2 linked regions of the Kluyveromyces lactis genome follow. The protein of the gene in region 1 interacts with the protein of each later gene in a biochemical or structural test. Links are inferred from orthologs where the notes say so. Each region holds a gene or a part of one and is shown in the gene's direction. Other genes may lie near its edges.

Region 1 (4,991 bases):
TAATCAGTTTTACGACAAATAACTTTTCATCACTAGTAGTGAATGGTAAGAAATCCAGATCATCTTCGAACTTAAGCCCTTCTCCGAGTGTTTTTAATTGATTAACGTGAATGACGGAATTGGAATCATTAAAAGAAGTATTGTGATGTTGAGCATCCAAAATACCTTCATTATTTTCATCATCCTCATCGACATTTGATGCTTCTTCTTGTAGCTCTTCATCACTTTGAAACTCTTTTTTCAATAATGTACGTGTTCTTCCGTATCTCACCTGGCTCACTGCTGAAGTGGAGACCACTTTAAGACATTGAATTTGGCTATAAGTCGATATTACATCGTCGGAGTCTTTCAATGACGAAATCATCGAGGAGATACTGTCAATTGTACTTTGAAACTCATGAATCTCAGAATCATTATCAACAGCTTCTTCAACATCTTTCATATCGTCATTGTCGACTGTTATTCGTTTATGAAGCCTTGTCACTTTACGTTTCTTCTTCATAGATGTCGACCCCATACCATCCAAAATATCGAATGGATCAGCTTCAATTGTCTTTGAATCACGGTTTTCAAATGACTCGTATTTATGAGAGGAAGACACATACTCTTCTCTGACAGGAGCCATGGGAGAAGTCTCATAAGTTCTATCTAAATCTGTTGATAAACTTGTTTCTTCCTCGTCAGTTGAAGTGAAATTGTCCTCATCGCTTAACTCATTGTCTTTTTTATTCAAATGTCGCCTCGCCAAGGCTTGAAATTTCCCATAGTGACCATAAACTCTCGTCTTCATTTATCAGAACCTCCCAATGGGCTTTGTTGGTTTGCTTCCCCTTGTTTTCTTTGTTGTAATTTGTTCGCGTCTAAACAGTATCGTTTCACGTTAAAGTCCTTAAATTTTACGTGTTTTCCTCAAAGCGATTTCAATCTAGAGAAGAGAAAAGCTATGAACAACTTTTACAGAGATAACACAGAGGGAAAAGAACGTGCTAAAAGACCTGGAACTGGATTCAAGTCATTGGTTTTGATTATCATTGCCATAGTACCGAAAATGTACGGAGATCTCGCTAACAAGTTGATACTAGAAGCAAAGAGAACGCAACAGTTATCTCAAGCTGGATTCAACAAACAGCAATTACCAGTATATCAAGACGAGCTAGTCCGTGGCATCCTGAAAGAGGTTGGATCCCTCAAGAAGAACGTGGATTACCTACGAGAACAGCAGCTTACTGATCAGGATAACAAAGTCGCTCAATGCCAGTACGTCGTTGCTATGCTTTCGATGGAAAGAAACAAAAGATGTCTATTAGCATACCAAAAGATGAGAAGTGAGATGCTAGACTCAATGGTTTGGGATAACAACGGGATGGAATTTTCTTCTGCCATATCAAACCACCCGAATCTATCATCGTTTGATTCCTCTGTTTTATCACATGCAGAACAAGAGTATCTCAAAGAGTATGCACAACTACTTACCGAATTGAAATCGGGAGAACTCTCAGAAATCGATTTGACTGGGATGTTACAACCGCCGAGCGATGTGTTCATCGACGTACGAGTATTGAAAGATGCAGGACAAATAGAAACAGAGTACGGTGTATTCAACCTGATTAAAGATTCCCAATTTTTCGTCAGACAATCCGACGTCGAAAGACTTATACAACAAGGATATCTGCAGAAGATATAGCAAGGCAGCTTTTTTCGCCGAATTCTGCACCTTTCATTGCAATTCTGTAGATATCATTGCTGGTGATATTGCTGATGCAACCGTTCCAAATGCAACTAACTAGCTTTACCTCACTTTCACTATGGGGAATGCACGATTTCTTTTTGGATTTCTTTTTCTTGCAGCTCATCGCCTTCAAAAATTTTTCAGTTTTGTATTTAAGGCAACGAGGCATAAGTAACAGAACAGTACTTGATCTGGAACCAACTTGTTAGAACGGTTATTGGTTTGATTGCATTGAGTATAGTGTACAGCTTATTGGGATATAATATTTGTCACCATACATATACCAAGACTTGTGTTTCATCTTTAGTCTAATTGTTGAGCATATCTTTCCTAATTGTAAAGCTAATAAAATAAAGGATGTCCAAGACTGATGTCACTGATTCTGCTACGCAGAAAAAAGAATTGAACGAGTATGAACAACACTATTTCACCTCTTATGACCATTTCGGTATTCATGAAGAGATGTTGCAAGATACTGTGCGTACGCTTTCGTACCGTAACGCTATAGCCCAAAATAAGGACTTCTTTAAAGGTAAGGTTGTCCTAGATGTTGGATGCGGTACTGGTATTCTATCTATGTTTGCTGCAAAGAACGGTGCTAAGCATGTCATTGGTGTTGATATGTCTAGTATTATTGAAATGGCTAAGCAAATTGTTGAATTGAATGGTCTTTCAGACAAGATCACTTTGTTACGTGGTAAATTGGAAGACGTTGTGTTGCCTTATAAGAAGGTTGATATCATTATTTCCGAATGGATGGGTTACTTCTTATTATACGAATCCATGTTGGATACCGTGTTGTATGCACGTGATAACTACTTGGTCGAAGGTGGGTTGATCTTCCCTGACAAGTGTTCCATTCACATTGCTGGTCTTGAAGATTCTAAGTATAAGGGCGAAAAGCTGAACTTTTGGCAAGACGTTTATGGGTTCGATTACTCACCATTTATCCCATTGGTGAAAAGAGAACCTTTGGTCGATACAGTGGAAAACAGTTCTGTTAATACTACCAAATGTAAATTAATCGAATTTGATCTTAATACAGTGACTATCCCAGATTTGGCATTCCACAGCAAGTTTAAATTGCAGGCAAAGAGACAAGATTTCATTAATGGGTTGATTTCATGGTTCGATATTGAATTCCCAGCACCAAAGGGTAACAAACCTGTCACTTTCTCCACTGGTGCCCATGCTACATACACCCATTGGAAACAAACCGTCTTCTATTTGGAAGACGATTTGGAATGTGAAGCTAATGATATCCTAGAAGGTGAATTGACCTGTTTACCAAACAAAGATAACAACAGAGATTTGGATATCAAGATCGTGTACAATTTCAAGGCCTCTGGTCCAGACGGTAAAGAAAGGTCAAGAAAGGGTACCAACACTTACTTGATGCATTAAAATAGTAGCTATGTTGTTTTTCTTACTCAGTCCATTATTTGGGGCCCTTTTTACGTAAACTATTCGTTTACTATTCCCATTGAGGCTCAGATCACCTTCAGATTATGTTTATTACTTGGTTAATTCTGAAGGAATGCAGCTCTTTCAACCTTTCAATGCCTTCGATTCCATTGTGAACTTCACTATTATCATTAACATTAAGAAACAAAGATAAAATAAAAAGGAAATGAAAGCCCCTCTCGCAATTCCAAGCAGTTTGTAACAGTACTTAGCAACCACACCCAATTATTTCCTGCTTAGGCTTCAAGATTATATAATTCTCTATGTATTATATTTTGCAAATTTGATAAGCATTATAGACAAATGTTCACTCCGCCTCTTGCAATAAGAAAAAGACAACGCTCGCTAAAACAATGAATGATTTGAGAGACGCTACATAGAGATATATACGTAGAAACTAATTTTAGTCTATAAGCAGAGCTCAAGCTCTCTCACAACAAGATTGTTTTGGGATTGGGAAGAAGTAGCAATTGAATACAAAAAAATATATTTCAGACTAGTGAAGTAGAAAGAAACGTACTATTTTGTTTAATCGTGCTTCAAGGTTTCCAAAGCAGTAGCAGATGGCTTGATCTTGTTAGCTTGGTCGACCTTCTTGGAACCCAACTTTTCGGCGGCGAAGACCTTAGCGTATGGGTTCAATCTCAACAAGACTTGCTTGTTCTTCAATGGGTTCTTCTTTTGGACGTGAGTACGCTTTTGAGTGGCTTGACCAGCGGCTCTCAAGACAGATTGAATTTCAGTGGAGTTGATGATTCTGGTAACATCGGAAGTAGAGATGATGTTAGATGGCAAAGCGTAACCAGCCTTGACAGAGGCAACGGTTTCGGAACCCCAGATTTGGTCCAACTTGGAGAAAGCGGATTGAGTCCAGATAACGAATCTACCCAAGTGAGCACCTGGAGCCAATTGCAACAAACCTAAAGAGGCAACGTTAGCGGTTTCAACACCTGGAACGTTTCTGAAAGCCTTGACAACACCGTTGTCTTCGGAGTAGACAACCAATGGACCTCTTCTTTGAGTGAATCTTCTGTTTCTGTACTTACCCTTACCAGCTCTTAGCTTCTTGGACTTGACGACCTTGATGACGTCGGAGTGAGCACCAACAGCCTTCAAAGCAGCAACAGCTTCTTTGGTCTTTTGGATGGATTGCAAGTCGTCGGAAACAACCAATGGGATGGATGGAACCTTTTCGACTCTGTGACCTCTGGCCAAAACCAAAGATGGAACAGCAGAGGCAGCAATAGCAGAAGCAGTAGCGTATCTCTTTTCGTTTTGGTTAACCTTAACGTTCCACTTTCTCCAGGTCTTGGTTGGAGCGAACATACGACCACCACGACACATGTTACCGAAAGCAGCTTGACCGGATCTGTGGGTACCACCACCACCAACACGTGGAATACGGGCAACAGCACGACCAGTACCCCAAGATTCAGCAGAGGTTTGGTGACCAGCCTTTTCGGAAACAGCATAAGCTTGTCTCTTGTTCTTGTTGACAGATGTGAACACAGAGTGAACGATATCTGGACGAATTGGAGCACGGAAAACGGCTGGCAATGGCAAATCGGTAGAGGTGGTCTCACCGTTCAAAGATAGAACTGCAACTTGAGGAATAGACATTACTGATAGGTAATCAAATGGACTTGATGATGGGGAGGGAGAAAGTAAAACTTTGTAATGCAAAAGATCTAAATTATACCAAATTAACTATTGTTGAAAAGTTTTCTTCTCTTGTGGGCATCGAAATTTTTCACTTTTTTATATCTGAAAAATTTCATCCACGATGCACTTTGAAAGA
Region 2 (4,660 bases), about 370 kb from region 1:
AGCTTGCTTATACTTACTCCTCAAGAATATGTGATTAAGAAAGAACAAAATGCTGCAAATGAGAGCGGTTCTGGTTGCATTCAATTGGCTTTGATAGTTCTTCCTTTCCTATAAACCTGCAACAAAAATAGTAGCTTCTTGATGTGTTTAGCTAGTTCTCCCTTGAACATAAATAACAAGCCTTGAACAATCACACCTTTGGTTAATTGGGGGAGAAGACCCTTCCAGAGGGCATGGGCACCTTCATGGCGGTATAAATAAGTTAGAACTTCTTGGAAGCTGGTGAATTTGGATGAGGAACGTTGTAATGATGCTTTTGCCACAATCAATGGATGGGTGAGGCAAGTTGAGATGATCTTAGAGAGTACACCAATCAAGAAATTCTGACCAGGTTTCAATTGCAAAGAGGAATCGTTCAAATCCTTGGCGTTCCATTCCACATGGTAAAGTATATCTTTCAATTTCTCGGCTGAGGCATAAGTAATGGAAGGATTTATCGTTAGGACTAACGAGACTTTCAGACTTTTCCAGAATCCAGTAATCCCATCCTCATCATAAACCTCCTTGGCAATAGCCTTGAAACTGTTGTCCCCTTCTAAACCACGTCTAGTCTGTTGTTTTGTCGAAACAATGTTGATTGGATTAGTGAATAACTGAGAGGTTGCTGCTGCCAGCATGGAAAGCAGCAATTCTTCAATTGTTGAAAACCTGGCAGCCTCACCCTTCACTTTCTTCACACGGAAATAATGTCTTCTGATCAAGGTATACCAGAAGAAATAAGAGAAACTCTGTATGAAAGTTCCAAGCAATGATGCGCTTAACCCATGGTATAATCCACCAAACCCTTCATTCCGATAAACTTTTACAATCACATCTAATGCATGCTTATACCGCTGCTCCAATGACTCTTTAGTCGCTGTCGGAGGTTCAGGCTTCGGTTTAATCTGCTGTATACCGTGTTTCTTCGGTTTACTGGAGCCAGTACTTTCCTTGGTAGAGACATCAGCTTGAACATCAGAAGAAGGGTACAAATCACCTTGTTTCAACTGAGTTTGAATCACAGTTTTCGCCAAATCAAGTGGATACACTGCCAAATTGGCAAACCCGCTGGAGACTGCCCCAACGAAAGCATTCTCTAAACTTGCCATATGTTACGGTGGTACGTGATTTAATTGACCCTGATCTACTAAACTTCGGCGTTTATAAAATTGATTATCTCCTGTTCACAATAAATTGTTAGAGGGGCGGTGATTCATTCAATAAGCACTGCAAAGTACTAAATTTACTTTTTTTTTTGATTTTATTATTCTCCGCTTCCAACCGAAGAGTTTAGGCTTGAAAACAGGAACATTTTGCACTTTACACCTTAGAAATTATATTCCATTTATATAGTAGTTACTTTCCCAGAATTATTCCCCAATTAGATGAATAGCGGTCACTTATCACAGATTATTTTCCAGTTTTTCGGCTGTAATGTCCCTTCTCCACACATTTTTTGGCTCTCGTCTGCCTCGAAGTGAGGATTCTTCGAAAAGAAAAAAAAAAAGTGTTGATATTGATCACGTGGTTTTGAAATGCCATTCGTCAACATCGAAAATTAATATTGAAACCGTCAAAACTATGAATTTCCATGCAGGTATTTCCAATTGAAGAATCTTTAGAAATCTAAGGGACTATGACATTGAATAATACTGACTGCATCTGCTAACGTTCGCTCTTAATTTAGAACTATTCCCACACTTTGATCGTTGTTCAAGAAGGATATTTGTTTGTATCTAGTGGGTTTTAGAAGTTAATTTATTGATTATAGAGTGTCCACTTTTTGAAAGGATGTCGCAATATATTGGTAAGACTATTGCTCTTATTTCGAATACTGATAACCGTTATGTCGGCTTATTGGAGTCTATTGACTCTGAGAAAGGTGTTGTTACTTTAAGACAAGTTCGTTGTTTCGGTACAGAGGGACGCAAGGGATGGGGCCCGGAAGAAATCTATCCCAACCCTAATATCTACGATACGGTGCCTTTCAACGGTAATGACGTTAAGGATTTAAACATTTTAGACGTTCCTTTGGAACAAGTACAACCTGTATTGCCACCTCAGGTAAGCGGTCAACCACCAGCTCCGTTGGCTAATGCAAATGGGCCCAACGTTCCTGCTGCGGTGGCCGGGTATGGTGTGTACGCTCCAGACAAGGATCAGCAGCAAGTTCCCCAACAACACCAGCAAAAACAGCAGCAGCAAAGACAGCAGACCCGCCAACAGCCTGTTACCGAAAAGAAAGTTCCTAACCAGCAACAGCAGAAGTCTGCGGCTCCTGCTGCTCCTGTGGCTGCGGTGGCTCCTTCTGCTGTTCCAGATTCTGAATTTGATTTCGAAAGTAACAACGCCAAATTCCAGAATGCTGAAAAGCCCAGAGAATCAGATATAGAACAAGAGAAGCAAACCTCCAAGACAGATGAGATTTTCTACGATAAAAAATCCTCATTCTTTGATTCCATTTCAAGTTCCGCCGTAGAAAACTCGTCTTCTGCCAAATGGGAAGAGGAACGCCAGGTCAACTTGGATACTTTCGGTCAAGCCAGACCAAGAAACAATGGTCGTGGCGGCTTCAGAGGTCGTGGTGGATATAGAGGTAACCGTGGCGGTAACCGCGGTGGCTTCCGTGGTGGAAATCGTAATGCTGCCAACAAGCCACCAGTCCATGATGTTGAATCTTAACAGAACCCCATTAAATACCTATTATCTCAACTACCTCTTAACACACCGGGAAATTGAAGCTAACACGAAATGAATCGAGCAATCTATCGAAGTAAAAGCAGGGAAAGACGCATGTGTAACATAGAAACACTAAGTATACAAATTTAAAAGCTATTATAATTTTAAAAGTACAGCATTAAAACCGTATGTCCATCGGCAAGCAATTATGTTTCCGTCCATCAGCACGAAGACTTTTTCCCTGGTCTCTTTCCATCCCATGTCTCATGTCAAAGGCATCCTTGAGGTCATTTGGTTTTGTTGACCGGGAAGGTATTGGATCAGTTTGCGAGTTGTAATATCCTACAACTCTTCTATAGACAGAATATCCCAATTTTTCATATAAACTGATCGCCAATTGGTTATTGCATTTCACAAATAAATCAATAAAGTTCACATTATGCGGGGAGTTATCTGTTATGGTTTTTAATGTGTCACATAGCATCGATGCAAGCGATATTCTCCTGAACCTAGGTGATATCGTCACAGCAGTAATGTGTGCATGCCAGTCTTGTCCTTTTCCCTCTGTTTTACCCATCATATATCCCGATATTTCATATTCCTCTGAACCGTGCAGCGGAGAAGTCATCTCTATGCTCTTGAACATTAGCGATGGCCATAGAATTAGATATTCAAGATAAAACTCAATAGGAAAGTTCTCTGTAAATGTATCTAGATTCACTGCATTTAAACTGAAAAAATCAGTAGCCTCAAATGGCTGAACAGATGTCATATTTCAAACGTTGCTGTAGTACTAGCAAGTCGTTGCTTAGCGAGTTATCTTGTTCCCGGTAACCTTTTTTTTTTTAGGTGCTGCGAAGGTTCAAATTGGTTGAATCAACCTTTACATGTTTCTTTGAAAGATGTGACAGTGTAACTCAGGTCACGTGAGTACAATTTTCTTCGAAAGAGGAGGTCTATCGAGAAGATTAACGCCATTTGTTCCACTAGTAATGGCTCAATACTAGGTACACGCCCTCCGCTCGACGGAGTGGCGTTTTTCTGTTACAGCTTATATGTTTATGATACTTCAGTTATACATTAACAAACTCCTTCTGAGTTCTATCACTGAAAATAAGGTTTGGATCTGAAAAGTAGAAAGAAATAATAATATATTAACTATGATGAACTATATATGACTACTTTAGCTTCCACATCACCAACTTCTTTGAGGCAAGCGAAACGCAAATGCTATCTTTGTAAATGTCTAAAGACTTAATTCTATCCTCTTTGCCATATTTTAGGGGCCATGTGTCAGATTTCCGTAAATCCACGGCATATAATCCGTTATCTGCTCCAACGACTAAACCACCAAGTGAATAAGACACTTGCAAAATAGGCTGAGAATAACTATCCTGTGGTACTACAGTGGCAATATTCTGTAAGATAGAATCGTAATGCGTCTTTGTGGTGGTGGTTACTGTCTCAGTAATTGATGCATTGTTACTGATATATTCGTCTAGAACACTCCGTTGTGGGATGGAAGAGGAGTTGACAGACAAATCTTCAACAGTATAATCATCCAAGCTCGGAACTTTTGTGACAATAATTCGCATATATGGAATATGGGATGTAGCGACAGCAAGGATTGTTGTGCTATTTATCTGTAGGATGTGAGAATTTATAGGATGCCAAGACGGTGTGAAAGAAGTGATAAGCATATCGGAAACGTTGAAAGAATGGGTACTAAATTGTGCCGTATTTAAAGCAATGTTAGCAACATGATGTATTTGATGATTTCTGAATTTGAATATCATAATTTGAGTAAAATCTTGTCTTGCTAAGAATAACACAGGACATCCGTCCTCAGAGAATGCTAACTGTAGTGCGGTACACACAGAAAGGAGCTTATATTCACTTACCTTACTCGTTTCTTCCGTTTCCAAATTGTAAACGTAGGCAT

The links.
Region 2: the proteins of HMT1 (region 1) and SCD6 form a complex in vitro, tested with the Saccharomyces cerevisiae proteins (2 studies listed by BioGRID, with this or other methods). The link is inferred for Kluyveromyces lactis from reciprocal best matches to the Saccharomyces cerevisiae genes HMT1 and SCD6.

The regions. Positions count from the first base shown.
Region 1 is NC_006038.1:616,282-621,272, forward strand, and holds HMT1 (protein-arginine omega-N methyltransferase HMT1), read left to right. Parts: upstream 1-2,086; coding exon 2,087-3,133; downstream 3,134-4,991. Other genes in the region: RAD61 (Rad61p), read right to left, coding at 1-790; DNA replication protein PSF1, read left to right, coding at 1,049-1,684; KLLA0_B07139g (60S ribosomal protein uL4), read right to left, coding at 3,722-4,813. UniProt on the Saccharomyces cerevisiae protein: S-adenosyl-L-methionine-dependent protein-arginine N-methyltransferase that catalyzes both the mono- and asymmetric (type I) dimethylation of the guanidino nitrogens of arginine residues in a variety of RNA-binding proteins such as heterogeneous nuclear ribonucleoproteins (hnRNPs) and small nuclear ribonucleoproteins (snRNPs).
Region 2 is NC_006038.1:984,781-989,440, reverse strand, and holds SCD6 (Scd6p), read left to right. Parts: upstream 1-1,830; coding exon 1,831-2,721; downstream 2,722-4,660. Other genes in the region: ANT1 (Ant1p), read right to left, coding at 81-1,148; peptide alpha-N-acetyltransferase complex B subunit NAT3, read right to left, coding at 2,897-3,490; KLLA0_B11253g (uncharacterized protein), read right to left, coding at 3,897-4,660.